Linked DNA regions of Arabidopsis thaliana. The protein of the gene in region 4 interacts with the protein of the main gene of each other region in a pairwise test. Each region holds a gene or a part of one and is shown on either strand. Other genes may lie near its edges. The genes, in order: AT5G15500, AT1G60410, AT4G32600 and AT4G38690.

The links.
Region 1: the proteins of AT4G38690 (region 4) and AT5G15500 interact in a protein complementation assay, tested with the Arabidopsis thaliana proteins (one large-scale study listed by BioGRID).
Region 2: the proteins of AT4G38690 (region 4) and AT1G60410 interact in a protein complementation assay, tested with the Arabidopsis thaliana proteins (one large-scale study listed by BioGRID).
Region 3: the proteins of AT4G38690 (region 4) and AT4G32600 interact in a protein complementation assay, tested with the Arabidopsis thaliana proteins (one large-scale study listed by BioGRID).

Annotation. Positions count from the first base shown.
Region 1 is NC_003076.8:5,029,596-5,037,195, forward strand, and holds AT5G15500 (Ankyrin repeat family protein), read right to left. Parts: upstream 3,946-7,600; 5' UTR 3,849-3,945; coding exon 3,533-3,848; exon of another isoform or gene 3,254-3,532; coding exon 2,196-3,253; 3' UTR 2,053-2,195; downstream 1-2,052. Other genes in the region: AT5G15510 (TPX2 (targeting protein for Xklp2) protein family), read left to right, coding at 4,525-5,369, 5,452-5,497, 5,610-5,702, 5,798-5,917, 6,038-6,136, 6,435-6,494, 6,581-6,675, 6,792-6,993.
Region 2 is NC_003070.9:22,255,887-22,263,397, reverse strand, and holds AT1G60410 (F-box family protein), read right to left. Parts: upstream 4,460-7,511; 5' UTR 4,384-4,459; intron 4,287-4,383; 5' UTR 4,270-4,286; coding exon 3,370-4,269; intron 3,280-3,369; coding exon 3,139-3,279; intron 3,052-3,138; coding exon 2,872-3,051; 3' UTR 2,611-2,871; downstream 1-2,610. Other genes in the region: AT1G60420 (DC1 domain-containing protein), read right to left, coding at 1-396, 541-1,020, 1,316-1,420.
Region 3 is NC_003075.7:15,721,701-15,730,050, forward strand, and holds AT4G32600 (C3H4 type zinc finger protein), read left to right. Parts: upstream 1-1,644; 5' UTR 1,645-1,974; exon of another isoform or gene 1,975-2,110; intron 2,111-2,219; exon of another isoform or gene 2,220-2,257; 5' UTR 2,258-2,309; coding exon 2,310-2,977; intron 2,978-3,173; coding exon 3,174-3,299; intron 3,300-3,392; coding exon 3,393-3,681; intron 3,682-3,758; coding exon 3,759-4,037; 3' UTR 4,038-4,441; downstream 4,442-8,350. Other genes in the region: AT4G32590 (2Fe-2S ferredoxin-like superfamily protein), read left to right, coding at 1-107, 316-369, 538-600, 846-908, 1,025-1,081; AT4G32605 (Mitochondrial glycoprotein family protein), read right to left, coding at 4,729-4,912, 5,504-5,829, 5,991-6,164; AT4G32610 (copper ion binding protein), read right to left, coding at 6,676-7,037, 7,211-7,475, 7,877-8,197.
Region 4 is NC_003075.7:18,071,465-18,078,595, forward strand, and holds AT4G38690 (PLC-like phosphodiesterases superfamily protein), read right to left. Parts: upstream 4,494-7,131; 5' UTR 4,236-4,493; coding exon 3,279-4,235; 3' UTR 2,856-3,278; downstream 1-2,855. Other genes in the region: GRP2 (glycine rich protein 2), read right to left, coding at 776-1,387; AT4G38700 (Disease resistance-responsive (dirigent-like protein) family protein), read right to left, coding at 5,119-5,691; AT4G38710 (glycine-rich protein), read right to left, coding at 6,677-6,887, 7,083-7,121.

The DNA.
Region 1 (7,600 bases), on a different chromosome or scaffold from region 4:
AAAACTAAACTTTAACAATTTTCAAAAACTCAGATCCGGTTTCGTAAGAGTAAAAGGATACACAGAGAATACGTTAACGTAAACATGACCCAAATGTTAGGTGAAGCAACCAATTCAGAGATCATATACTCATGATCATGCTTAACAATCCGAAATTCAACGAAAAATATACACATACTGCAAGAAATTCAAATCAAAATCTCAGATCTGGTACATGCAACAGAACCCGGTTCAGGAATTGGGAATAACGTAAAATGAGAAATGAAATTACGTGAATTTTCTACGGATCACCGACACAGATCGAGCCTGAATGCAGAAAATTGTTAACTCTCAATATAATCACAGAAGAAGGTTAATAAACACACAAACATTCAAAAACCAAATCTATATGAAAATTAAACCAACCAAAGTAGATCCAAATCGAAACAGGAGATAAAGCCCGAGATCGGATCGCGATTAAACACAAAACTGGATCGTGACACGGATTAAGAAAGAGAGAAGCTAGAATTTGATGATACCTTAAGGTGCGAGCTAGGTAGGCTCTGGTTCTAGCACTGATCGAAGAAAATGGAGGTGAAATCGCTAAATCTGACGATGGAGAAGAATAGCGGGGTGAGTATGGAGTTTATATAGGTCATGAGATTCCTAAATTGCCCTTGAAACCGTCAAAGATATTAAAGTGTTTTTGGTTACTTATTTATTATTATTGCTTAATTAAATTAAACAAAACACTTTCAGTTAAAAATTAAATGATGTACAGGTAGAAAAAACGATGGGCTCAAAATATTTGGCAGGTTTTTGTTTAAAAGTCTTAGTATTTATTAGTATTGCTTAATTAAATTTAACAAAACACTATCAGTTAAAAATTGAATGACATAGGTAGAAAAAACGATGGGCTCACAATATTTGGCAGGTTTTTGTAAAAAGTCTTCAAGACACGTTAAACATTTGACATATTTCCATTGATTGGATTTCGACCAACTTAAATACACTTTATCGTATTTGCCAAAAAAACATGAAAAATGTTTGTATCAGTCAACAAAATAAACTGTAAATTATATATAAATATATATTTCTTTTATGGATTGTTACTATTTTGTATATTAAAACATATTCAAATTTTATATTGGAAACTAAATAAATTCATTTATTGCCTGTCTATTGTTTACTTTCATTGAAGAAAATATAACTGACTTACCAATCTCCACAATATAAAAAAAGGAAGTACCTTTTTAATTGTTTTTTTGGACAATTTGTATCTCTTTAGCGTTTTTTCCCCAACCTTTACACTTAATCACTTATATTATGGATTCATATTTTTCTGACTTTTTCCACTTATTAAATTTTCTCTTGAGGTAATTGATGCTTCAAAACAAAAATAGCTATGTATATATTATTTGTTCACCTACTAAACAATATTATATATATATATAGACATATTTCTTACCAGCAAAATATATTATTTAATTTGAGAAATATTAACAAGGAATATACATTATTGGTTTGAATCCTTTTCTGTGCGTCAATGTCCATTCATAGTAATAATATACTTCCCAAAGTTTGGTGTTTAGTTTCAATAATGTACATGTTAATCTATTATTATAAAACCATTTTGTATATATGAGTACTTAAGTGATTGTGTGGTGAGGTCTGCAGGACAAACTTCAGACAAAAGACTAACTGCACTTTGCTTAAAAACTCAGTCACACTTTTTGAAGTGCTTCTCAAGCTATATTTGCATAATTATATAAATAACTAATAAAAAGAAGAGTGCGGTTGAAATTTTAATATTAAAGCTATATATAGTTTTAGAAAAATATAAATCGAAACCAAATATATTGAAAAAGAATTCAAATATAACATGGTTCAATATTTTTTTGATTCGTATACAAGTTTGCCATGTTACTTTAACTGTGACCATAAAACCTCAAAATCATGATTTTTGTAGATTCAGTAATTATTTTACTAATTTACATTCGAATTAGAATGCGTCATACGACACCTTCCACTTTCTAGCAACGTATACTCTTGTCAATCATGTAGTCTTTTTATGCACATCATATCACGTAGAGTAAATATTAGAAGCAAATAATAAACAGATATTTCATGTAAATAGGTTTACCCCGAGTAGAGATTTTACACATTATAGAATAAAAATACAAAAGCAACAATAAAATAACAAGAGGAAATTAAGATTACCTAATCACATACCGATTAGGCGCAACACCTCTAGCTTGATCCAACGTAGTGAAACCTTCCCAAACCAATCCACTCTTGGGTCCACGTTGCTTGGTTCTCTTAGACTGCACCCATTCCCAAAACCAAACTACCAATCCCCAAATTATAAGAACCACGATCGCACCCACACCTGCGATCGTGTACGCTCTTGCGTTCGGCTTGATCACATCCCCTGCAACAGAGTAAGCCAAGACCATAGGAACGAACAGAGGGTAATACCAAAACATACTCTCTTGTCCTAAACTCAACAAACGTATCATCATCTCAATCGCAAAGCAGAACCCCGCACTGTTCCACAACCATAACCAGATAAAGTAGACCTCGTCCATAACCACTGAACCCGCTTTCGGACCGCTTGTTCCACTCTTTTGACCACCGCCATCAGACACGCCTCCGGGAGGTTGGAGAACCGTCTGATATGTAGCTGTGACGATGAGAGTTGCGACCACTAAAAGAGCGTTTCTTCTCTCTTCAGAGATCCAAGAATAAAACCGAATCTTCTTCGTCCGTCTCGATTCTCTCCAAGAAAGCTGCGACGCGAGTATATCCGATGTTGTCTTAATCTTGACAAGAGAAACCGAACGTTTTCCACCATGTCTCTTAACCATTCTCTCTATCTCTCTGTTATTGTGTAACACAGCAATGTCGAACACGGTTAAACCGTTCTTGTTCTCAATGTTGACGTTAATCTTGGAGCTCTCTAACAACAATTTCATAGCTTGACGATTGATCTCGTACGCCGCGAGATGTAAAGGCGTGTTACCGTCTTTGTCTCTTCGGTTTATGACTCTTGTCTCGATCCACTCTGCATCTTTTTGACACAATCTTAAGATCCATCCCATGAGAACTTTAAGAACGCTTAATCCTTCTCTTTGGTCGTAGTTATTCACGGCGATGTGAAGAGCGTTTTCTCCGTTCACATTTGCGTCCACAATGCTTTCGGGACAACCCAAGAAGAATTCTGACATCAGATCAATCTTCTTTCTACTTACCGCAACTAGCAATGGCGTCATACCTTTTTTGGACAAGAAAAATGAATTAAACACTCCTGGTATAACCAATCTAGTTCATGATCTGACCATACAATATCGACATAATGACTAGTCAAAAGCAACAATAGACTGAATTCAAACTAGTATTCAATGGACTGTTCGTCCTACTTCAATACTATCTCCAAGATTTGAATTTACTAGATACATATTATAACATTAGTTCGGATTGATTAGAGCTAAAGCTTTTGGAAAAAACTAAGAAACATAATTAAGGGTTCAACAAAATAAGTGAGTGTACGTACCATGTCTCCCTTTAATACGAACAAGACTTGGATCAACCTTAACTACTTCAAGTACTAACCAGAAGTGACCGTGTTCCACGGCGAGGTGTAACGGTGTAAGTCCGTCGGCGTTAAGTTTCCGAGCAAAAGATGGTTTCAAGTTCATCATTTCCATGGCAAACTCTGTTTTTCCATTGACGGCTGCCACATGGAGAGGAGTATTAACGAAGGGCACGTGGTCGGTTTTATCAAGAACGTATGGATCTTCATGGATTAGTTCGTATAGTAGATCGATGTTTCCAGATTTAGCAGCAGCTTCTAATGATCTTTGGTCCATTAGTGACTCAAGAGAACAGAACGACGATGCGAATTATATTTTTGGTGATTAAATATGATGATGAAACTTAATTGGCTACGAAATGATAACTCGTTTGTGAATGAAGGAAGTTCCCAAAAAAAGGAAAAGAGTGGGAAATTATAGGTGACGTGGCAGTATACGTGGACACGTCAGTATCTGATCATTTAATCCAACGGTTGATATTAGATAAATAAGAATTATTGTCTGAAAATTTGATGTGACATGGAGTACAACGTGGATCATATCGGCTCCAGCATCTATTTGATCTAATGGCTAAGATTGTACAAAATAACTCGCTGCTAAAGTGTTGAAATTCGGATGTGACGTGGCATTAAACGTGGATTAAAATCATCATAATCATTAATTTGACAATCTAACGGACAAGATTAGGAAAATAATTATTTATTACTAATCTAAGTTTATTTATTAAAAAAGCACCAAAAAGACTAGCCGTTATTAGAGAGCGTCCAAAGAGCGCCGCAACGGTCACATTTTTCCCCCAAATCTATCTTCTTATTCGATTTACAATACTCCATAGCAAGAACAAACCCTAATTCTTCACCTCCGATCAATTTTTTTTTTGTTGGAGAGATTCTCAAATCTAGATCGATTACTGTTCGTGTTACTCTCTTGATTCCAGATTCTGTTATCTTCGATGGAGTCGTTGACATTGAAGAATGGGAAAGCAGGGACTCCGGTGAAGGATCGGAGCAAGTTTCAGTCCAATCAAAAGATTTCCAGATCATCGGAGAATGCAAACCCTAACATTTCACAAGCGAGTCCTTCTAAATCACCGCTCATGAAATCTGCGAAGAAATCAGCGCAGAAGAATCCGAGTCCGAGCCCTAAACCTACCCAGGCGGTTTTCTCTCCCCGGAATCGGATCAGAGAGAGGAAGTTTGTTGTGGTGGCGAAGAAGAATTCGAGGAAAGGGAAGAAGGAGCCAGCGATTACAGAATCCAAGGCAGCTGAGATAGATTGTAAATGCGGAGAGAGGAAGAAGGGGAACATGAAGTGTGTTTGTGTTGCATATGAAACTCTGCGTGCTTCGCAAGAGGAGTTCTTCAAAAATCGAATTGAATCAGAGGAGGATAAGGAAGCTTTGGAGGAATGCTGTAATCTCGGAAATGGCGATGAACTAGAAGGAAAAGAATCTGGAGAACCGGAGAAAACAGGCGTTTCCACAATGAAGAGATCAAGAGCTAAGGTGGTGGAAGAAGCACGGCAAAGTGTGCCTGTATCTGGTAAAGTGATGAATCTTGTAGAAGCATTTGAGAAACTCACTTGCTTTAGTAATTCAAAGACTGCCAACAAGATAGAAGAGAATCAAACCGAAGAGGATACGAAGAAACCTGTGAAATTGGAATTCTTGGAGGGTGAGAAAGAGAAAAACCCATGGAGTTCTTCGTTTTGTCCATCTGAAATGGTCTTAACAGCTAAGAATCTGGGTTTAGACCCCAATGCTTCGATTTCTTCGTCCTGGGACAGCACCCGTGGCAGGTTAGTTTGTTGTTGACTAAGAGATCTCACTGAAATTATGAACTTGTCTTGTTCTGAATAGTTTGATATTGTGATGTTTCAGTGTTTTGAGTGGAAGTTCAAATGCTGGCAGGAGAAGTAGAAGAAATGTAAGTGTCCTGCATGCAGCATCTGAATTTTCTTAGCTGTTTAATGGTTGTCTGTCTTGCTTAGTATGTCAGTATAGTTTAATAATCATTTTGATATTTCTGTTTATGGCAGAGCATGGAGTCATCGACTACAATGGGAAGTAGAAGATCAAAGAAGAAGCAGGTTAAGGTCACTTCATTGAAGCCGTTTAAGCTTAGAACTGAGGTATGAGTTTCTTTAGATTAAAACTAAAGAAAAATTTCGAATTTTATGGTGGAAATTGAGTCATGACAGTTGGTTGGTCTTTTGTCTCTCTGCAGCAAAGAGGTAAAGTGAAAGAGGAAGAGTTAGCAAAAAAGATACACGAAATAACAATGGAGGAAGAAAAGATGAGAATCCCCATTGCTCAAGGTCTTCCATGGACAACCGATGAACCTGAGGTAAGCATGTTCTGCTTTCCTATTAACATCTCAATTGATCTTGTAAGCTCTAGTAGTAACAATAGTGAGAGATGATGTCTTGTTGACTATGAAAAGTTCTAATGTTGTTTTCTGTTTCAGTGCCTAGTGAAGCCTCATTGGAAAGACATTACAAGACCAGTCGACTTGACGCTCCACTCAGATGTCCGGGCAGTTGAACGCGCAGAATTTGATTACCAGGTAACCTTGCTAATGCAATGATTAAATCTACATTTTGTTGGGCTTGAAGTTCAAGATACCTTAAAACATAGCCGCTGACATGATTTGGCTTCAGTAACCATTTCATTCTGTCAAATCATTTAGAGTATACTTGTTTTCTTATCAGCTGGTTGTGTTAAGACTTGAGACGGAAAGGAAAATAGCTGATAGTGTCAAATAGTGTGTATTGTAGTCTGTAGCCAAGGTTGACTTGTCTATAGTAACTTTGCATTGTTCCATAAATTTCTTCATGTTAAAGTCTGAATTTTTGTTGTTCTAGGTTGCCGAGAAGATGAGCTTCATTGAGCAATACAAAATGGAAAGAGAAAGACAACAGAAGGTAAACTTTAATATGAGATGTTGTGGCCATATCCGATAATAGAGTTTTGCTTTAACTGATTTTGATAAATCCAATATTGTTTTTAGTTGGCAGAGGAAGAAGAGATAAGAAGGCTGAGGAAAGAATTGGTCCCAAAAGCACAACCAATGCCATACTTTGATCGACCATTCATTCCAAGAAGGTAAAAGACTGGTACATAAATACTATCCTCTTGAATCTTTCTTATTATGAGAGCATGATAGGTAATATAGATATTGTTTTCAAGTGAGAAATATGTTTTCAATATAGTTTTCACAGACCAACTAATAGAGTAAACTTTCTTATAACAATGAACGTCATTGCAAAAGCTGACACAGTTGCTTCTTGTTGTTTTCTTTTACCATTAAAAGGTCGAGCAAACATCCAACTGCACCACGAGATCCCAAGTTTCACATACCGCAACACAAGAAGATCAGATGCTGCAGTTCATCTTCTTGGAGTGAAACTGGCTCCTGCATGAGCGATTTCCAATATCAGTTTCTCTAGAAAGCTTCTTTTGGATTTACTACTATATCATCCTTGTTCATATTCTCATTTTCAAAACTACATTACCTTTCTGTAACCAATTAGTTGCAGTTTCATAGATTTGACAATCATTCTTGTTTCACCTTTGTAATAATAATCTGGTCTTCACCCAAGAAAATGAGAAAGATTCCATATTGTTTGCAAAATCTGGTTTGATCTGGTTCAGAAAGATATAATACTTATCCTCCAGTTTGAATTTGGATTTAACTGACTTATCTTATGATTCAATCCGTGTTCCACCTCTCATACATTTGTTTGCAGAATCCGGTGTACATTGGTTTAGTTCTGGTCAAGAAACATATGTGAGTTTTAAATCATCTTCCAATTTAAATTTGTATATGACTGACATACCAGAAGAGTTTTCATAGAGAAGAGTAAATTGTTTCTTGAGATTTCTATGAAGAAGAGTAAACTTGGGATACAAAATCACTGTAAAGAACAAAACTTTAATAGCTTCATCAAATATCAAATTAGTTCGTCAAAATGAACAGAGCAGAAGAGAGTAGAGATCTAAAATCACAAAAGCTAAAAAGATCTATAAC
Region 2 (7,511 bases), on a different chromosome or scaffold from region 4:
TTCTAGCTCCTTGAGTTCTTGAAACTTCTCTGGAGTGAAAGGATACGCAAGAACTCCATAGTCATCAATAGCTTCAGCGACATTCGAGTGACGGGTTTTTCCATCAGGGCCGAGAATGACCAGTGTCGGTAGTGTTGACAGCATGAAATGCCGAGCCAATTTTGATCCACTTTTGTCGTTGAACGGCAATGCTAGCCATGGCTTGGTCTTGAAGTCTTGATTAAAAGACTCCTCATCATCTTCAAGAGATATCAACACAATCTCAAAATCCTCCTTATTCTCCTTCAGCTTCGTATAAAACTCAACAAGCTTTGGAGTAAGCTCTGTGCATTTCCTGTAAGAGGCCACAGAGAAGAGAAGGCCAATGGTTTTTCCCTCAAGCTCTGATACGGGTACCTAATGAATATGCAATTGATCGGTCTCATTAAGTCAACAAAAGAGAAACAGGTCCGTAATAACTAACTAATGCAAGAGTCTTGTATAGATATAATCTTCCTATTGACGAAAAAGAATCTGATCTCACAAGCTATTAATGTGCACCTTGTTTCCGTCAGGCGAAATCACAAAGTCTCGTGAAGGAGTCACCAAGACAGATCTTAAGGTCTGTCCTCTCCGAGCTCTATCTTCATCCTCTTTGATCTCCTTCATTTTCTCTGGTGTGAAAGGATAAGCATCAGCTCCATAGCTTCGTATGACCCCAACACCATTCTCATTCACAAGTTTACCATGATCATCAACCATCACTAGGTTAGGTATTCCCCTAACCTTAAACAACTCATCCAAACGGTCACGGGTTTCCGAATCAGTAAACGGAACAGCGAGCCAGGGCATCTTTCTGAAATAATCTCCAAATGACTCTTCATCCTCATCACCTGACACAAACACAATCTCAAAACCAACTTTCGAAGAGAGCTCGTTGTAGACTTCCACCAGCTGTGGAGTAAACCGCTGACACGGTCCACACCAAGCAGCTGAAAAATACAATCCAATCTTCTTCCCTAACAAGCTGTCAACTTTCACCTAAACATCATAAAAATGCATAAAAAATTAAACTCTACCCAAACAACATAAGCCATGTGAAATAGACACAAGCCAAATCAATAAAGGACCAAGCACTGAATGAATCTTAACACTTGAAAGCAATCGATTAAAGTCATCTATAGCAAATCAATCAACTACACGAAGCTATCTATATTCTGTAAACCAGAAGAGTCGGTTCAAAGAATCGCGAGACAATCACAGGATCGTTATCGAAGATCAGAAGAAGTTGCGATCGAAGACCATAAACTCAAAATCACGTCAAAAACTATTTTACCTGTTCGCCGTCATTACGAACGAGGAAATCCCTCGCCGGAGAAGAAAGAAGCGAGTGAAGATCCTGGGCATCGTCGCCGTTGACTTGCTTCGAGGTTTCGGCCATTGTTTGTACGGAGATCGAATTTGAGAATCGCCAATTACGAGCACACGAAGACTGGTCTGTGTATTCTTTTGAGAGGGCCAAGTAATGCTCAAAGCGTTGTATAAAAGCGTCTCTTTTGAAGTTTTTTTTTCTTCTTAATCCAGAATTAGATTACTTAGCGATTAATTAAAGACCAGAAAATGCTAAAAACAAATGGTTGACCAACCAACACAATTATATTCCGGTTCGTCCATCAAACGAGGTCAAATACAAAACACTAAAAAGTCAGCAGTAGAAATATCTCGATGGGGTATAAATTGGTCAAAATCGAATATTTGGGGTTAATATTAAATATTTACAAAACATTAAGCGCTATCTCGACAATTCACGAGGATCAGTTCCCGGTATTAAACTCGGAAAATCCTTAACAAAACCCTAGCTTTTTGTGCAATTAGCTATTCAGATTGTTTTGTTTTCTGATCTGACTGTTTTTAATCTAATTCTGCTATATATATGGTATGTTCTTTGGGTTATGTCTAAGAAAACAAAAGCTTTATCTTTTTTTTTTGTCTACATTATACTTTCACCAAAAAATAATATATGTCTTATTAATGCGTTTCTTATTTCGTCTAGACTCCATGCGTGATTAGAGGACCACCAACGGTGGTCCCTTAACAAAATTTCTAATGATAAAAAGAATGAAAAATAATTAAAAGGTAAGTGTAAGAAGAGAGAGAGGCCCTAAAATTCTTTATTTAAGGGACAGTCTCGAGAAAATTATATACATGTGTTTTTATTATTGGTCAAATTATACAGAAGCCCTAATAAGATTAAAATATTATTATTTGTATGTTTTTAAGGGATTTTCATAGAGTCCAGCGTTGGGGGTGCTCTTAGTTACCCAATTTGAATGAGCATATGTCCTGTGTACTTGATAGATTCAACCAAATGGTTTGAGATTAAAGGAAGCAATTAAGTATCTAAAACTTTGTTGCTATAGTTTTGTATATTTTACATGTATTGTACACTATAGCAACCTAATTACAATGCATGTGATATATATATAGAAAACTATAGCAACAAACTTTCAACGAAACTTTGACGTTGAATCCAACCCGTAACAACATGGATGAAGTCCAAGATACTTCACTTTTAAGTTTACTCATTGCAATATAGTTTACGAGTAAGAATCAATGAAAGAATATAAAAATTTATAATCAATCCTACATATAGTTGCAACATAGAATTTCAATTTTGTTTTAAGAGATAGAAATTTACTAAAGAACATCCATAAAAAAAAACTAGAAAACATAAAGCCATGTCTAACAAGAAAATCTAAAAAGTCTTACAATAGATTATTTGATAATTAACTGTTGATAGGTAAACTTGATTTAGGAGAGACGACATTATACACATAACAACTTGACACCTTTCAGCATATCTTTGGAATCCTTTTCATTTTCTTGATGATGTTACTGCCCACTTAAAAGCATTTTCGTCAAGCGTGTACACTTCTTCCTAAAATATGTCGCAAGTTTCATTTTACTTGGTGTCGATGGTGCCTTCAACTGAAGAAAGTCGAGAGAGGATAAGACACATTGAGGCACTGGTGAGAGTTTAATCTCCTCCATCTCTGGAACACAGTCAAGTTCCTAGTAACATAAAACTTTTGATAAGTTTTCTTGGGATATGAATCTCAATGTAACTACGTGAAATATAGACAAATAAATGAAACTCACTATGACGAGCGAATCTAGATTCATGCAGCAACTAAGAAAGGCTGGTAAAACTTCCCAAGAAGATTCGACTAACGAAGCATCCAAGCCAAACAAGTTAGAGAATGGAGGCAATGGTCCCACCTTGGAGTAGTCATGGATGGACTGTGTATAGCCAAAAAAAAAGTAAGTCAACACCATATACAAAATTGTACAAGCTTAATGTTATATTTAATCCACCAATCATATGTGTACCTCTAGAGTTCGAGCAGAGATGGTCAGTTCGTGAAATGTGGATAACCCGACGAGAAACTTACGTATCTTAGATATCTCCAATGGATCATCATCCTCAACATCAAACTCAACATCAACGGTTACCTCCGCAAAAGGACCAATTCTATGTATTTTAAGGCTTTCAGGTTTCTTATCACAGATACTCATAAACTCAAGGCTTGGAGAATCGATTTCAACTTTGGGATTGTCACACTCAAAACGCTTAGACTCAAGTCTAAAGCTCTCCAGTGATTGAGAACGAACACATATGACTTCCAAATAATCCTCCGGATGCGGAATCACGGTTAACTCCTCAAGAACCGGACTATGCGATATGAGAGTCTCCAGAACAGAATCACCATCAAACTTGACCCCCTCAAAATACATTTTCTTCACACTAGGTAAAGAAACCGATTTTGATCTTGGATGATCAAAGACAACACAGTAGAGAATCAAATTCACTAAAGTAGCACATGAATAAAGCGAGGGAGGCATCCTAACTAATGCTACATCAACATCCACCATATTCTGAATATTCAGATCACAAACTCCACGCCTAACCACTTTATTTAGCCTCCTCACAAATGGCTCATGCAAGTGCTCATTAGCATCATAAAACATATTGAAGCTCTTCAACTTCAAGCCTAACTCTTCGTGATATTCCATAAAGCTATCTATGAATTCTCCCATGTCGTGTTCACCTTTAAAATCTTGGAAATCCAAATCCAAAACAGAAACAAGCGACCAGAGATTACTCCAACGAGGGGACAAAACGCTAGTACGAACCGATTCCTTGGTAGAGAGATTAGAGAGGATGCGACATAGCAAATGACACGGTAAATCGCTTAACCTATCTTTCCCTGAGACTTCGGTTCTAGCCATGACTTCTCCCGGAAACCCTATATTTCGGACAAAGCTACACTATTAATTTATTATTAATTAATCAAACATAATCCAAAGTATGAAAGAGAGTTCAGAGATTAGGTTAGAGATTACCTAGTAGAGATAGAGAGGAAGAAGAAGAACCTTCAATTTGACGACCAGAGATCTTCTCGCTAGATTTTCTTCCTCTTTGACAGTTTTTATAATAAGTTGAAAAATAAAAAGAGGCTATACGAAACGTGTCGTGAGCGCCCTTTCAAATTTCTTCAATATTTTATTGACCACAAAACGAAACGTTGTGATTTTTTTTTAATTACATTTAATGAACTTTATTGTCAATCGAAATAATGATATGTATTTAATTTACTGTTAATATAAAAGAATACTTGAAATACTCATGATTGATTTTTTTTTTGTTAACTCTTTGTCTTTCAAGAATAAAAGCTCAAATTGTATCCGTTTTTTTTTCTCAACTCTTGTTCAATTCTATCCGTTTCACAATTCACAAAATAATATCGTTTACATTTTAACTAGTTTTCAGATTTTCCTCTTGTCTAAAGCTAAAAGAAATTTTCTATTTAAATCATTATGGTATAATTAGGGGTATATTAAATAAGGGTATATTTGTATGTTTAACTCATTTTTAATGTGTGAAATGTGTCAAAATTACACTTTTTATGAAAGAGAGATACATTGTAAGTTTTAACCAAAACTAGGTAAAATTGCCTGCTAGTCTAGGTAAATCTTATGCTATTTAATTTTATGAATGATCATTTATAATATTTAATTTTATGCTTTCCAATCTTATAAATAATTTTATGTATAATATTTCAAATGACTACATTTTAATATATGTATATATATATATATGTAATGTTTTATATAGAAATGTAAAGTGCATTTAAAAAAATCAAAGCATTAAATGTACATAAATTTCAACAAATCATATATGGTAATAATCAATAGAGATATTTGAAAAAAACTAAATTTGGATATTCAAAATATATAAGAACAAAATAAGGTGTGTTTGAGTAATGGTTTAAAGAGGATAAGGAAAGGAAATATGTGTTTGGCAAATATGATAGTAGAAGGTATCTTTAATTTTGTGCCTAACATATTTAGCCATTTTTTAAAAACAACTAAATAGTACATTATTGGTAATTGAATAAAACAACAACTCACAATATAAAATAGTATAGTTTTTTTTAGATTGCATAAAATCATTAACGGACATACAGAAATGTGGAACGATTTTTATAAGAATAATGGGAATAGGAAATGGTTACGTGGTTAAAGAGAAAGTATATATATTAAAATGTAGTTTCTTGAAGTTTCAATTTTCTAAATTTTGACCAATTTGATATCCCTGAAATGGTCTTAAATACATATTTTTGGAGATGTTGTGAATATAACTTCTCCAAACACATAACCTCTGAGAAAATTGATTCACCACTTGCTCATGGAAAGACACAGCCTCACGTTGCTGCAAAATAGAGAGAGAGAGAGAGAAACAACTCAAAGACAATAACGAGAAGCTAAGCAATTCGTCTTAGAAAGGAAGAAAGCGAAGATAATTGCATTAATGCATATTTATACTACTATTTGCATCATAGAAATCAAAATAAGTATCTAAGAAAAAAGAAATAACTATATATCGAATAATCGAAACGACCCTCCCGTATAGCACTTAATTACTACTTAGTAGAGAAGAAACATTCATTAGTGTATAGATAAGAACCATAGCAAGACATGATAATCGAGGAACAAAACACATATCGCTTCATGAAACAAAATATTCTATTATATATACCATTGTAAGATTCATGATCTATACAATTTTTTCCTGTTTAAAGTTCCGAAAAAAAACAAACAAACAAAAACATCTTCGTTTTGTATTTCTAGATCAGGCAAACCCAAATTTCCATGTTTGCATTTGTTATTTTCCCGCCAAGAAGTGCCAATAGAGATCTCTTTCTTTCGTTTTTTTCTACCAGCTTCAACAACTGTATACAAGCAAAATAGCTAAGAAGTAAGAACCATCTCAAAGGACATCAAAGCGTACACTAATTAAGGGTTAAGCATAGACAGAGAAGAGCCGTTGCAATCTTTGACCCACCCAAACCATGATGATTTAGTTTGAGGGAATAGACAAGCAAAGAAGAAACAAATTTAGTGTGGAAACCCAGTAAAGATGAAAATTTTTAGTAATGAAAGTTAAAGTTTCATCGACATATGATTGCAGCACAGCTAAATATAAAACAGTAACTTTAGTGGCTTTGTCCTCCCATTGAATCCTTGTAATCCATTGATCTTGATCATTTTTGTAATTATTGACAATTATTTAATTTTCGTATTGTTATAGAACTGTAATTAACGGATCAAAATTCAATATGGCTAGTTTCACTAAAATACAACTATTTATTTTGTTTTAATTATACTTCTAAGGAATTGTATAATAATAATCTGTCGCATGATGTATAAATGGTTGAAGACTTGAAGGTATTTTTAACACTATCGTACTTTGTATTATCTTGAACATATATCTGTTGAATTCTCTAATAATTCTTTGTATAGTACTCGCGATCCTGTTTCTACCTCGATATGATATCTTCATATCTTGTATGAAGTTGTATGCCTTACAATTTTATTTTTTTTGATAAACAGTATGCCTTACCATAACTCTTTGTAAAGCACCCAGTTAAGTCAGTGATCAAACCTATTGAAAATACTCCAATTTTAGCATAATCTATGAAAGGCCATTAAACTCAAAATCCAATCGAGCCATATATATTGCCAAAGATTTATCCATATGTGGCAAAAAGCTGGTCGTAAGCACATCCTTTTTTGGGAATCATAAGTACATATATATCACATAAAAAAGAATCTTGTAATTTGCTAATCATATCTTCCTCACCAATTCTAAAATCACCAGGGTTGTTAACTTAACTTTATAAAAAATAAAGAGTTCGCATAAACTTAAGTCGTGTGATTTTAATCAAGTCAGAAAAAGAAGGCTAGACTCAATTAGACAGGAAAGAGTATTGAGCAAGGAAAAGGGTTCACTAGGCATAGAGAGCTAGGGTTGCAGAGTTTACCGTAGATGGAACAAGGGAACCAAGAAAGAGTATTACGACTACGATTTCAAAAAATAACTGTATACCTAGGAACCATAAAGTCTTGTCAACCAAAAACGGAAATTTACCTTACAAATATCCATATAACCAGGAACCATAAAGTCATGT
Region 3 (8,350 bases), 2.4 Mb from region 4:
CGGGTAGCGACGGGTCATATCCGGTAGATAAAGCAAAGGCTGTGAGTGGAGATAAGCTTCTCAGAAGCATTATGCAGGATAACAAAATTGAACTCTACGCTGCTTACGTGAGTTATGTTGATTTCTCTCTCTTTAATTACGAAATTTAACTTCAGATTTTCTCAATCTTAATACATTGATTGATTTGATGTTTGAACTAGTTTCTGGAATAATTTAGTAGACAATGAAAATATTTAGTTCTAGATTTTGATGTGAGGAGATGGTTTGTTGAAGGCTTATGTAAACTTTGGATTTTGGTCAATTTGTGATGATTAGGGGAAAGTGATGAACTGTGGTGGTGGAGGAAGCTGTGGAACTTGCATTGTGGAGGCAAGTGACTTCATACAATGTTAATTAGATTCTGATTATGAATTTATGAGCTATGATTGTTCTAGCATTCATGGATATCAATGGAGGAAAATAGATTTGTGTTTGGTCTTCTTATGATGACCAGTAACTCAAAGCAAAAAAATACACATTTGGTCTTCTTGTGTGCAGATACTCGATGGCAGAGATCTTCTGAATGAGAGAACAGATACAGAAAACCGGTACCTGAAAAAGGCTAGTTATTTGATCACTCCTCTCTATATTATTGTTAGATTCACAAGTTTCTCATTGCTAGTGTTTGGAATGGGTATGTGCACTAACAAGATGAATGAAATGTTGAGCATTGTTTCTGGTTAAATGTGAATATATGTTTTGTTGTCTGATATGGTTACTAAGTAACTTTTCTTAGATATGCAAATTTTGGATAAAATAAGAGCCTTGGCTGTTTAAATCTTAAGGGTTTTGTTACTATTGTGCAGAAGCCGGAATCTTGGAGACTCGCATGTCAAACAATAGTAGGGAACAAAGAAAACTCAGGAAAGGTACCTACTTTCATACACCAATTTATGCATATGCAAATTGCAAACGCTAATGTGCCCATTATTTGGGATCATAAGAGTTTATTTTTCCTTTTTATGATCTTTCTCATTGAGAAAAGTCGGCTTTGGATATAGGTTGTCGTGCAGCGGATTCCACAGTGGAAGAAGTGAATTAATGTAAAGGTTATTTGTCTCAGATTTATGTGTATATAACACATCTCTGTATGAATGTTGTCTCGTATTAATGGAAGATTCGTTTGTCTAGACGTATTTTTCTTTAGTTCTTGGATATGTGGTGCCATGATAGTGAAATTTAAGAGAGAAACTATCAACTAGCTCGCATGATTGAAATGTTTAAAATTTGCTTAAAGATACGGTAGGAGTGAAGCTGGTCAGAAGATTCGGTAGGAAGTGTTTTTATGATGATCTGAAAATCAGTAGCATGTTTTACCTTTTTGAGCTGAAAATGGCATTTGTTTCTTAAGCTTTGAAAACGTGTTTCTAAAAAATAAGAACTTGGTTTAGTATTCGAACCGTTTCTTTGACAACTTTCAGATCACTTTATTTATCGAATGTCACCGAAGAGACAACTTTCAGAACATCTAATTAGATTACGCGCCGCCCCGTAAAACAGGGGTAAAGTCAAAAAGCAATATCTTCTCATTTTTACTTTTTACTTTTTTCTTGTTGAGGGAAAATATAAAGAGGAAGGAGCCAAAGAAAGCATCACTATCTGAATTTTTCTTTGTACATTTATTTATATATAATACTAGTTTTTGTGTGATTGCTGTTTGGCTCCGAATTTTATATCCATAATTTTTTTTTTTTAATCTCCCCTTGGTTGATCGGTGAACACAAAAAAAAAAATCTAAAATAATCGCAAAATACATTTGAAGAAGCTACACGATCAACAACAGCAAAGGATTTCGATTGTTGAAAAAGTTGACTCTTCTTAATTTGATTCGTTGTCTTGGTTTCTGGGTTTTCTTCTTCTTCTTCTGCGGCGCTCTCCAATTTTACACCTTGCGACCAGCGAGAAAAGAAACAAATTTCACCCCCATTGAAGAAGGTTTGTTTCCCCTAATTGCTTGATTTTATTCTGAGATTAATCCCAGGCGCCAATTATATGCTTCTGTTCTTCTGATAAATCTTTGCCCTTTTACGATTTTTCTTTGATTTTACCCTAGTTTTATGGTATAATCTGGGTGAGTTTCTTTCCTTTAATTCATGTATGATTAAGCTTGGATTGGTCGATTCTGATGAGTCAAAATCTTGAAACAGACATAAATTGATGATTTTTCGTGGTTGTTTTAGGTCATTTGAGGGTTTAAGCTTTCTTTGTGGATTTGCAGGACCTTTGGTTAAGCTCCATGGTGTGGTATGCGCAAAGTGGACAATACCTAGATGGGTGTTTCTCTTCTGAAACAACAACATCGTATTACAAATCAAGCTGATACTTTTTCTAGATTCATGGAAAGATCACCAGAGAATAATCTAAGCAGAAATGAGCACATCATCATTGACATTCCAAGAAATGCCGCCATTGCATCATCATCATCTTCTCATGATAGAATCTCAAATGTTTTGGAACCTTTACAACATGAGGAAGAGAGACCTTCTACTGTTTCTCCCATGGCTGCTCCTCAGCCAGCTACAGCTACAGCTTCTTCTTCTTCTTCTATGCGATCAAATCCTAGAAGTGTCCGTCGTAGAAGAAGTCCTTTGAATTCTGGCTTATGGATTTCTATTGAACTATTCCTCACTGTTGGTCAGATCATTGCAGCTATTGTCGTTTTGTCTTTGTCAAAACATGAGCATCCTCGTGCTCCTTTGTTCACTTGGATTGTTGGTTATGCGTGTGGATGCGTTGCTACACTCCCGCTTTTGTACTGGAGATATTATCATTCGAATCAGGCTTCTGAACAGGATTCTGGTCAGCACCGTCCTAATCTTAATGTTGCAGCAGGACCATTCGCCTTCTCGATATCCAGGACATCCGAAGCAGATGGTCGACAGACCAATACCACCTCTTCTCGTGGTAGTAGATATCCTGGGTTTATAAGTGCTGCCAGGTAAACACACATGTTCTTAGATGATCTGTTTCAACTGAAAGTTTGGATTTTGAATTACGTTTTCTCTCAAAGCTTTTCTTATTTTTGAGAATTGAGAGTTTAGATGTCTCTTTTGTTCTAAACTTTTTCTTTGTGTTGAAAATATCTGCAATCTAATTGAGTCAGTATGATTTTGGTCGTTGATTTTGGCTTCCAGACTTAAAGTTATCGTGGAATACTTCAAAATGGCTCTGGATTGCTTCTTTGCGGTGTGGTTTGTGGTAGGTAATGTATGGATATTTGGAGGGCATTCATCTGCTGCCGAGGCTCCTAACTTGTACAGGTGATATTCTTTTAGATATACAGCAATTAGACTCAAACATCAGACTGCATTTTCCAAGACTGACCCATATTTTTGTTCTCTTGTATGTTCTAGGTTATGTTTAGTGTTTCTTACCTTTAGCTGTATTGGCTACGCGATGCCCTTCATCCTCTGTACAACAATATGTTGCTGCTTGCCTTGCATAATCTCAATTCTCGGATATAGAGAAGATTTAACGCAACCTCGAGGTGCCACACCTGAGTCGATTAATGCGTTGCCGACTCATAAATTTAAGTTGAAGAAAAGCAGAAGTAATGGCGATGACAATGGTTCAAGTACTAGCGAAGGTGGAGTTGTGGCGGCTGGAACAGATAACGAACGAGCTATTTCAGGAGAGGACGCAGTGAGTTTCCTTACACTTTGAATTTACACATAAACACACAGATACAATCAAGTTGCTGAATATAAAAATATTTGCAGGTCTGTTGCATTTGCTTAGCGAAATATGCGAATAACGAGGAGTTAAGAGAGCTTCCATGCTCACATTTCTTCCACAAAGAGTGCGTTGACAAATGGCTGAAGATCAATGCCTCTTGCCCTCTATGCAAGAGCGAAGTTGGGGAGAAGAACTCTGATTTGACTAGCCAAGGGATCTTAACCTCGCTCTCTTCTGGGGAAAACGATAACCATCAACAACAGCAACAACAACAACGGAGTGAACTTAGAGTTGAGAATGGTTTGGCCAATAATGTTATCTAGATCTTCGAGATTTGCTCTATGTCCGAGAAAACGGCAAATTAGCCGTTTGGCGATGTTCCTACACAAAATGGGGTTTGCTTCTCATTGCTAAGAAGGTGAAGAAAGACACGGCGAAGATCCTGTTCTGTAAATGCTTTTTGCCGTTGTGAATTGGAACCTCTTGAGTGTAGAAGAGTTCGAGAATCGGTGATTGAGTTTGAGCGTGTTCCAAATACTTGTTTTTATTTATTCTCTGAATTTGTCACGAGTACCACCTCTATACGAGAGCCAGGGATCTTTCGAGACCTTGTGCAGCTAAAGTGCCTCATTCATGGTCTCTCTGCGAAAAATTAGAATAAACCAAATAAAATATTTATACCTTTATACTGGACCACAAAACTTTTAATGGCTTCAACGATTTTGTTATCTTAGTTTTTGAATTACTAGACACTGACTCGTTGGCTCGGTAAAATTAGTGTGAGAACCGGTAACTTACAAGAAGCATAAAGATCATAATAGTTTTGCCTTTAGTAGAGAGAGCTCACACAGTCGAATAGAGAACTTTTTCTTAACATTAATCTCGGATGCATATGTTTTGAAATGGTTTGAAAATAAAAGTGATTCAGTTCCTGAAACATTTAAAAGCGGTATAGTGCCATACTAAAAAAATTAACCGCAGAAACCGATCCAGAGACCGAAAAGACACGTCCTTCTAGGCGGTGTTTTCTGCAGATGGGTTTTCATGAACAAACGTGCCAACTGATTTGAACCATCGCAGTAGGTTACGGTGATCCTTTACATAGAGCCATGCCTGAAGAAAGGGGAAGAGACTCTCGTTCACACCTCGTTCCTCTAGGAATCCATGGAATACATCTCTCATCTTCTCATCGAGCTCTCTGTCAAAACAAATAGAAACACTTACTTGCCAATCGAGTGAATTTTCTATCAATTGTAAGTTACGCATTATCTTTAGAACAGAGAAAACAGAATGCTGAATAGGATGCACAAACTCTCTTCTTTAAAACTGAGAAATGCAATGAGAGAAGAATGTAAGGAACATGACAAGAGACAAATCCTTGATTCAAAGGCTTCATAATAGAAACAAACCGATTGTGTGTCAATAGTGAGACTGCACTACAAATATGTCACATGAGGAAGAGCAGTAACTGAAACTGAAAAATCGAAATGTCTAGAACACATCTACCACCATTCTATTCTACATTCACATTCCTCAATAACTGGTACAAAAGAGATAAGCTGTTTCTTAAAATCATCCTTGAGAGAGTCAGAGATTATTTAAGAATGACGATATACTTAGTTGGCCTATTCTTAGTTTGAGAGCTCTGAGTGTAGCAAGACGAGACAGCTCAAAACAGAAATGAATCACCTATAAGGTCTCAACCATCAACTGAATAACTAGAAAGGCAAGCATATATTGAGTAAGTCTCTAAACTCACTAAAAAGAAGTTAAAAAGAGAGAAACTCACTCAAAAGAAGGGCCTGTGTATTGAGTAGGATCATCAGACATCTCCAAAGCCTCAAGTTTTGGCCTCATGGAAACAGAATGAATACCCAATGCATCAGGGTAAAGGCCACAAAGGAAATGCAAAGAATCAGGCTGATTTGGCTTTGATACAGCAACATGAAGGAACAACTGGTTGATCCCACCATCGTCTTCTTCATCACCTCCGTGAGCCAAGCGCATAACGAAAAGATTGATCTCTTCATTTCCAACAGATTTCTTCAGAACAGCACCAGTACTTCCTTCAAGCGACCCTTTCACAATCTCAAATGGTGACGGAGGACTCACTTTCTGCAAAATCAATCAAAAATCTGTAAATCCCACCATAAACCCTAAGTGGAGGAAGCAGCAGCTAAGCTAGGGTTTAAGTAACAGTACTGAAATTTCAGTTGTACCTAAGACGAGACATAGAGAGAAAACACAGAAAGAGAGAGAGAAGAGGAGGAACGAACCGGAGGAGGAGTCATCTTAGAAACCTCTAAGTAATGTTCCTTGAGGGAACGCAGAAGCATCGAATCCACTGCAGCTGAAACGTTGGCGCTCTTTCCACTTCCACCGGCTTTACTAGATAGCGCTCGCTGTAATTGATGCCGGACGGCGACATTTCCGATCACTCTTCTCCACATTTCTACTTCTCCGTCGTCGAGAGTAGCAAGCAACACGACGAATTGTCTTAAGAGAGTAAAATAAATACTGTACCAACTTTTCTTTTTCGTCGAATAAACCGCAAGAGAAATATACCTATTTAGGTTTGTCAAAAATATGATCTAATTCGTTTGATAAACATATAATTAAAATAATCAATTGATTTTGTCGATTCAGACTCATAGATTAACTTTATTAAGCGCTGGCTTAGCCACAACTAATAATATGTAAGATCAAGAAGTAGAAATTGTTGTGGGAGATAAAACAAATCCAAGTATAACCATGATGAGCAAAGAATGTATGTAAAAGGAAAAATTCAAACAGAGTTTCTTCTTGTCATGTTCCATTGTGATAGGATTAAAAGATCCAAAGTTATCATAACTCTAAAACACGACCCAACCACATTCCCCATCAAAAGATTTGTTCAAGGCAAGTAAGTCTCATATGAACAAAACCTATGTTCATATCACAACGGTGGGTGGATTGATTTCTTCACCTCACAGGTTGCTGATTGTAGTTTTTCTTTTCTTTTTTCTTCGCTGCGGCCAACTTTGCCTTCCTCGCAGCTGCTTCCTTTGCAGCAGCTGTTGAAGCACCATCAACCTCCTTGCTTGATTTCTTCTTCTTCATTGATGCAATCTTCTTTAGCCGTTCTTTGACGTCGATGGAAGAAGAAGACTCCTCCTGCTCAGCGGACTCACTTGCAGCATCCGAGTTGCTCTTCACTTCACTCTGGGATTCTTTTAGCTCCTTCTGTTTGTCCTTCTTTTTCTTCTTCTTTGAGGCCTTTGATTCTCCGGTTGTGTTCTCCTTCTTCTCTCCCTCATCATTCACTTCTTTCTTCTCCCCCTTATCTGTTCATATTTGCAGAAGAAACGTCTATCAGTATTAGCCATAACATGGTTTTCTCAGCCAGTGATACCTCAGCGTAGAAAGGTATCCACAGATAAATATCACCAACGAGTGAATAGAGTAGAGTAGAATTGTTACCAACGAGTGAATATAGTAAAGTGAAATTGTGCTATACCTTGAGAGTCTTGTTGACCATTCTCATCTTTGGTTGCAACTCCAAAATCTGCTAGCAAAGCCTCAAGCTCAGCAAGTTCCTTCTTTTTCCTCTCTTTCTTGGAAAGTTGCCTCTCTGCCTCCTTAGGAGGAGCACGAACTTCAGGAGCCTTTTTCACCTCAGGCTCTGCTTCTGGATGAACTTGTGTCTCTGTTCCCTGCTCGTGATCTTCCTCCACATCATCATCATCTCCATCATCAAGAGTGTCTTCTTCGCTTTCAATTTCCTGCGACATTGAAATCAAATGCATCTCTATGAGAAACAAATGAACAGATAGGCACACAACCACGGTTTAGAGAAACCATTGCACAACAAACTTACATTGCCTAGAAAAATTTCGATAACAATGCAATTAGATATATGAACCTTCAGGAGACAAAGCAGCTTACTTCACAATAACATTAATTTCCCTTTCAGAATTCAGACAACACAAGCCTAAGCCTAAGCGAGATAACAACAGTAGAAAAAAAGGCCAACTCATTCAATTCGTGGAAGCATTTGAAATCTAAAGAGGCTTATTGCAAGAGACATATTAAACCAGTGTTACAATTTTCAACATGTGAAATGCATAAAGCTATGATGATGAACCCAAAATCAACATATATATGAAAGATTTGGACTTGTGACCTCAGCGGGAACGTCTTTAGCATCTGAATGGGAGGCTTCAGAAGTGCTCCACAGGGACTGAGGTGGAGCAGTGGTAGCGTAATAATCATCATCTTCATCATCGCTATCGATATCAGCCCAAGCCTTTGCTTTGAGAGGCGTAGGTGCCCAGAAAACCTGTGGCTCAGGCTCCTTCTGTGAATCTTCTCTCTTAGAGGAAGCTTTGCTCTTACCAGCCTTATCAGACTTCTTCTTCTTCCTCGAAGTATCCAAAGCAGCAAACAAGTTGGTGTTCTGAATCGGCATCGATCCCTCATCTCTCCTGTTTCCACCACCAACCATCTTTTTTCTTTCCTCGATCACCACACAATAAGTCACAGAGTGTTTTCTGATAAAAACCCAGAAACGAAGTTTCACAATTTCAGCTGGAAGATGAATCTCGAGTAAGTTAAGGTAATGAAGGATGGGAAAGGAAAAGCTGATGAATTGTCGCTA
Region 4 (7,131 bases):
TTTAGCGATGCGCACGTGGTATTTTGGTTGTGGACCATGAAAGTTCAAACATGATAAAAGTTGATAATTTATAGAGAGCACTCCGATTTCCAAGGTAACAACAACAACAACAGATCTAAAATCTTCCCATATCTGCTTTTATTTACTTAATCCAATCCGAATCGTGTGAGCTACAGTAAAATGCCAGTGTGATCATGATGAAACGGTGGAAAGAAGTTGAGAAGATTACATTTTCTGAAGATATACAAAAGATTGAAAATACAAACGACATCGAAGATAAAAAGTCTAATAATGAGAATGATGGAGACTGCAATTAGTATTCAATTCCTTCCAGTCCATGGAACTTAAATGCCATTAAATGCAAAACATGAGCAGATAGATTTTGTATCTATGGGAATCGTTACATAATCCATAAATAATTCAACCATAAAACGATGATCTCTCAAGATTTAAGTATCCAGATCTTACGATTCATTCAGATGACTGAAACAAAACCCAGAATATTTGTTCGCATATTATGAACACTTGAAACAGAGCAACAAGTAGAGCATTTCACCCATATCACAAGTACCATAAATAAAACCAACCATAAGTAGCAAAACCAAAAGAAGAGTCCTAATCCGAAACCATCAAGAAAAAACCAACTAACAAAGATAGAGATCCATCATAATAAGCAAAAAGTGGATAATAGAGAGATAGAAGGCGGCGGGAGAAAGAACCGATCACTTGTGAGATAACCAACTCACTCTTCTCCACCGCGTAACCGGCGTTGGTTTTAACGTCCACCGCTGGTGCAATCCCTGGCGAAATGTCCCGACTCGCCACAGCTGTAGCAGCTTCCCCCGCCGCCACCACCTCCACGGCCACCACCTCCGTAACCACCACCTCCTCCGCCGTATCCGCCTCCACCTCCGTAGCCACCGCCGCCTCCTCCGTAACCTCCACCGCCTTCAGAACAGTCTCTCGCCATGTGACCGGGCTCACCACACTTGTAGCAGTCGCTGCCTCCTCGACCACCACCTCCTCTTCCTCCGTATCCACCACCGCCACCGCCGTATCCACCTCCAGATCCGCGTCCACCTCCTCTTCCTCCACCGAAACCGCCGCGTCCGCCAGATGAACCACCACCGCTGTTTCCTTGGACGGGAGCGCCGTCGGGTCCAGAAACATCGATGGCCTTGGGACGGTTGTTGTTGTCGATCTCAACCTCGAACTCTACGGCTTCTTCGGCAGCGAGGCTACGGAAACCCTCAGATCTGATGGAGGACTGGTGAACGAAGAGATCGTCGCCACCGTCGTCAGGAGTGATGAAGCCGAAACCCTTCTGGGTATCAAACCACTTGACGGAGCCTTTGCGCCTCTCACCACCGCCGTTGTCTCCGCTCATTTTGATTGGAATCTCTTAATAACTCACTTTTTTCTCTAAATCTTTAAAAAAAACGAAACCCTAGAAAATACTCTGAAATCTCTCTCTCCTCGCAGCTGCTGTTTATATGCGTATAGGAAGGGTGTGGCAAGGGTATGACTGCCACGTCACCCACCCCAATTCATTTTTTCCTTGTTTCCAAGAGGAAATAAAATAAATGTTTTTATTTAGATCTCTATTTCTATATATGTTTGTTCGATTTTTGTCTATTTTTCTAAATTGCCTTCAAAAAAAACATCTGCACATTCCGAATTGTATATTCGAGCGTGATATTAAAATAAAAAATCTCGCGATTAAGATACCCAGAAAATTAAAAAAACATAAATTTCGTTGATTTCGAAAATGAATCTGCAACTAAAATATTAAAAGAAAGAAAAGTAAGTTAAAAAAGAAAAGAGGAGTTAGAAAATGGGCCAGCATGTGATAAGGCTTAAATTGATTAATCCATTTCGGGAAAGAGAATGGATCATTGGCCCAGCAAGCAGTTGCATCTGGACGGTTGGGGTGTTTTTCACGAGGGATATCAGCCGTCAGATTCTGATTTTAGATCTGAAAAGCTAGCTCTCTGGGGAATAGAGAAACAAAGATCAATTAATTTATTTTTATTTTTTTACTTTGTATGTTGTATTTTATTTTTTGTTGCAGTCAACAACAACATTAAAGAATGACATGCAACGTCAGCAACTGGTCAATATACTCTTTTCAAAATTTTCTCAATCTTGTGGTCAAAATAAGCATTAACTGTTGTTCCACTTTCCACGTACATTTTATGAGGCAGATTCACAAATTTTACCAAACAGTATGATAATTGTATGAAGTAATTTGAGAAGACTATTGACCGCAAAGAGATTGTCCTTTGTTGGATATCGATTTTTGAGTATCGATTACAAAACTAAATTACCAAGTAATTAATTTATAAGAGAAATAGAAAATGAGTAAAATTTAAAAATTATTGAGAGATAGAAAATAGATCCCTTTAAATTTAGCTTATAATTCGAAAAATGTGCATGTTTTTATCTTAATCACTTACCGTGAGAAAGTATAGGAGTAAAATGATGTTATCGTAAAGTGCCAAACAACAAATCAAACTTGTGCTTAGCAAAAAAAAAAAAAAAAAAAAAACTGGTATCATTTGAGAACATGACTTAAAACGCAGCCGTTTAAATAAAAAAAGTTGGTTTCTCTGCATCCCATGTCTAGAGTCTAGAAGAGTGGTCTCGCTGCCGATCTCAGCAGGGAGAATAATTTGGCTCGGCTCAATCACTCTTGTGGATCAAATGCTCTTCTTCTTCTTCTTTTGTGTTTCAAGTCTTGAGAAGAAATCTAATCTCAAATTATTAGGATTTTGCACCATGTTTCCATCATCTCAGTTTATAGATATAATCAAATAATGAAATTATAGAGATGCATTGTGTCATTAGCTACTGATATGAATTCTAGCATAACTGATTCTATTATCTTTTTGTTCTTGAAGATCACAGTAGTGTGTAATAAAAAGGGGCATTGCTGCAGAAATATAGTCATCTCTCAGGTTAGCAGCTCTCTTTCACTTGTTAAAACTAGATTTTACCATCAACTGTATACTTCTTCCTTCTGTTTTGCCTGTCTATCAACTACAACATCTGCAAAAGTATCAGAAATTAATAGTAATGAAGAGTTTGGATATCTCGCAATTGTATCAGGATTCAAATAAGTTGTAATGAATTGGAATATACACTCGTAAATCACACACACATACAAATACACACTCACATGTTCTCTTATACACAAGCAACCCTAAAACACATCAACCATGTTCTGATTCTTTTCCTTCAAAATAGATACACAAAGTCTGTCTCCACACGCTCATTCCTCAGGCCTTACCTTCAGCTCTCGCAAAGGTGAGCCCAACGCAAGCATCAACAAATTCATTATCTATGAAATCAGTTGAGAATATCTGCAGTTTATCAGCACATCCTCTTTTTACACACTCTATGATGAATACCTTGGCGTAGCAATGTATCCTCTTAGTCACCGGTTTTACACACATTATTGGGTTATCGGGCTGCGGCGTCACTGTGTTCTCCACCCGGTAAAAGAATTTCCTTGAAGTAGCTGGTTGCTGCTGGCTCAAATGCTTGATGTTGCTCTCGAATTTGGTCGATGGAAGATCTGTATCGATCCAATTGTCTTTAAGGTAACCAGCGCTCCAAAGAGGATCACCATGCTTAGGCTGAGGCGATTTCCTCGGTTTCCAAACGCAGATCACTCTCTTGGGAAGCAGCTCAGCGACTGTCTTGGAGAACACGTGATCGTCCTGGTGAATCAGATGCTCTCCAAGCTGTTCCACAAGATACTTATCAAACTCCGGTGGGTCTTCGTGTCCAAACTCTGTTCTGATCTCAAGAATGACAATCTCCGACTCTGTTTCGGATAGAAACCGTTTGAGATCGGCCAAGACAACGTCGACACTATAAGTCTTGAGGATACCGTGGCATACACGGCGATCTTCTTGGACACGAATGTCAAGGACTCGAGTACCCGCCACGAGCTGGTTATAGATGGAGAGAGATTGGCACTTAGCAAAGGGACGAGACACGAATCGGATACCGATTTTGTTGGTGGCAGAGTCGTGCGTCCCAGGCCAGACGATCTTGTTGATGTGAAGCTTTTCAGGTCCAACGCCGGCCATCCAGTTTTTACGATCGGAAGGCATGTAATCACACCCCGGAAACTCGCAGCCGCACGATTTCTCGAGATCGGTGAGGGCTTTCTTCTCCGTGGAGATGGCTTTTCGCCGCTCGAGTTGTTTGGAAAGGTGAGAGCCCATTGCTGAGGATTAACCCTTTCCCTTTGCTCTCTCTTCTCTGATCACTATATTGAATTCTGTTCTCTCTTGTTTATAAAATGTTCCATGCCTTCTTTATCAATAAACCTTTACTCATAAGTCGTTATGATTGTTTTTTATTTACTTATTATTGGTTTGAAGAAGTTACGAATTATACGTTAATCTTTTAATAATTACGCTACTTTCTCAAAACACCGTTGACATATTCGCAAATTAGAAGTAACTTTCAACTTTTAACTTAACAAAAACCATAGAAAAAAAGTAGTAGCGTTTAATATGTAAGATTAACTGTTACAATTTTTATTGTGGGAACATTTTAGTGTTATAAATGTGAACTGATTGATTAGTTGAGATATATTGAAAGAGTGGTTGAGTTGTAATTGATGGGAGAGTGGGTTTACAATGTATGGTAGGTCCATTTTTGTTGTATAGCTGTCTTCACTGTTTGTTATTTGTCAATTTCTAATGCCTGGCTATTTTCCGACGTGAAAGATATCAATACAACGTGATTTTTATTTCTTGGAAGACACATATTCAAATTTTCTATGAAATAAAAGTCGTTCCTAAAATTTAAACAAGGCATCGATAATTAATATTTTGGATAAAATTCGGATAGGATCCGATGGAAAACCAATCATATACACTCACAGGCCCTATCATGTCTTTTGTAAGACTATCTCAAATATCACGATCCACACAACTAAGATATGTAAAAGAGATTACTAGTATAGATTTTGGGAATTGAGAAGAAAGATTGCAACATAATTAATCAATTTTGATCTCTTGATCATGCAAAATTCAGTTTTGATCTGAATAATTGATTTAGTTGGCCTTTTTATTGTTTTAATCGGAACATATGAATCGGTTAATAATGATAAACAGTAGCATCATATCGGAGAACAGCATCACCAGTCTTCATGTCAATCTTATTTGTTTTTACTTTGACAAAACCTCTCGCCATTCTGAATTTCCCACGGCCACCAACAATCGCGATTTCTCGCTCTCCGACCTCTTCCGCCACCGGATTCCTCGAGAAGATACTGATCGAGCTTCCATTAAACTTCCCTGCCGTGAAAGCCAAATCAGCGTACATGACGATCGTGAATTTGCTCAAGTCTTTGCACCCGGAGACATACATCCCTTGACCATTCCCGATCTCTTTCGAGTGTTTCTCCGGCCCGACGGTGAGCGGATCGTCTATCACAAACAGGCTTCCAAAACCTACCGGCGAAGCTGAGCCACCGGTTAGATTTGCATGTGCGATTCTAACGGCGGTAGGATTTTGGCCACTGAGAGTATCATGGAGATAAAATCTGACACGTGTCACTTTCTCCTCATTCAGTTTAGCCGGTTTGGTGTTGCCATAGTAGGATTCGTGACGCGCCATAACGGCCATGCTCAAACAGAGTGTGAAAAATATTATTAATGTGCTCTTCATAATTTATAAACTTAAGGAATTGATATGAAAGTTTACTATCCAAATGAATCTAGAACATATATATATATATATAGTTTGATCACTTGTAATTTTAGGAATGTTTACAGGAAAAAGATTTTCTCCTATAAAAAGAGGGTATATGTCATTATTTAGAAAATCTATTTGATATTTTTCTATATAACAAAAAGAAAATAGTAAATGCATATGATCCAGGTATTAACTTTGAAAATTTTCTGTCTGATATTGATGATATGTTCAAAATTGTAATAGTGTTTGACAACTTTGAAAACATGTAAAGAGATTTAATTATTTTAGAAAATTATGATTCTAAAAAGCTTTGAGATTCTGCCAAATAACTAGCATAAACTTTATTCGAGGTAAGGATATGTACCACGCGCACCTTAGGAGCGTTGAGCGCGTGTTATCAAAATGGGTAAGCTATATAGTCCAGCCAAAATGCCTATTTTTGATCAATTTTAATATATTCCCAGCTCTAAAGCGCGTGGTATTATCATATTCCCCGTCCCACTACATTCTGTGTGTTTGTACAGGTTGGATTTATTCCTCACCACATATATCTTAAGTGGACTGCACCGATCAAGAAGATTATAGAATACGGGCCAGATCTGATACTGGGTCGGGTTAAGTTGGGCCAATTGGGCTCTTAATAACAAACATCACTCTCTCTACGCACCATTGATCACTGATCAACTAAACGCTCCCAAATTCAAAGACAGATTTAAACCAATAATGAAATTGTACAACTCGTAAAAAATAAAAGACACCCCAAAACCCTAAAAATTGCAACAGAGTATGTGGTAAAAAAAAGAGACAGAGAGATATTATAAAAAAAAAGACCCTACCAAAATTTTCTCTAGAGTTCCCCCACACAACTTAACTTATCCAAATTAAACAACACAAATTCTCAGAAGCTAAACTTCAAGAACCCAAACTATCACAATCCACAAAAATGCCTTTTGACTCTTTAGATTTTGTCCTCCGTCTCTTCCTTCTTTGCCTCTTCTACAGCCGGTTCGCCACCAGTCTCTTCCTTCTTAGCCTCTTCTACAGCCTGTTCACCCTCAGTTTCTTCCTTCTTAGCCTCTTCTACAGCCGGTTTGTCCTCAGTCTCTTCCTTCTTTGCCCCTTCTACAGCTGGTTCCTCCTCTTGAGCATCCTCCTCAGAATGCTCCGTGCTTCAATGTTCAAAGACAAAATAATTTAAGAGTAAGAAACATGCTTACAAAATTTACAACTTCCCACAATACTCAACAACACTAACTAAAAAACCCATTACCATCACGCAGAAAGAGAAAAACAGAGCTCTCTAAACATGGGATGCCAGATCAAAAAAACAAAACAGAAAGAGAGATCCAATCTTTCAGCTTCACTTCAAGACATCAACTTCCATGTATGAATGTAGAGAAAAACTAATAACAC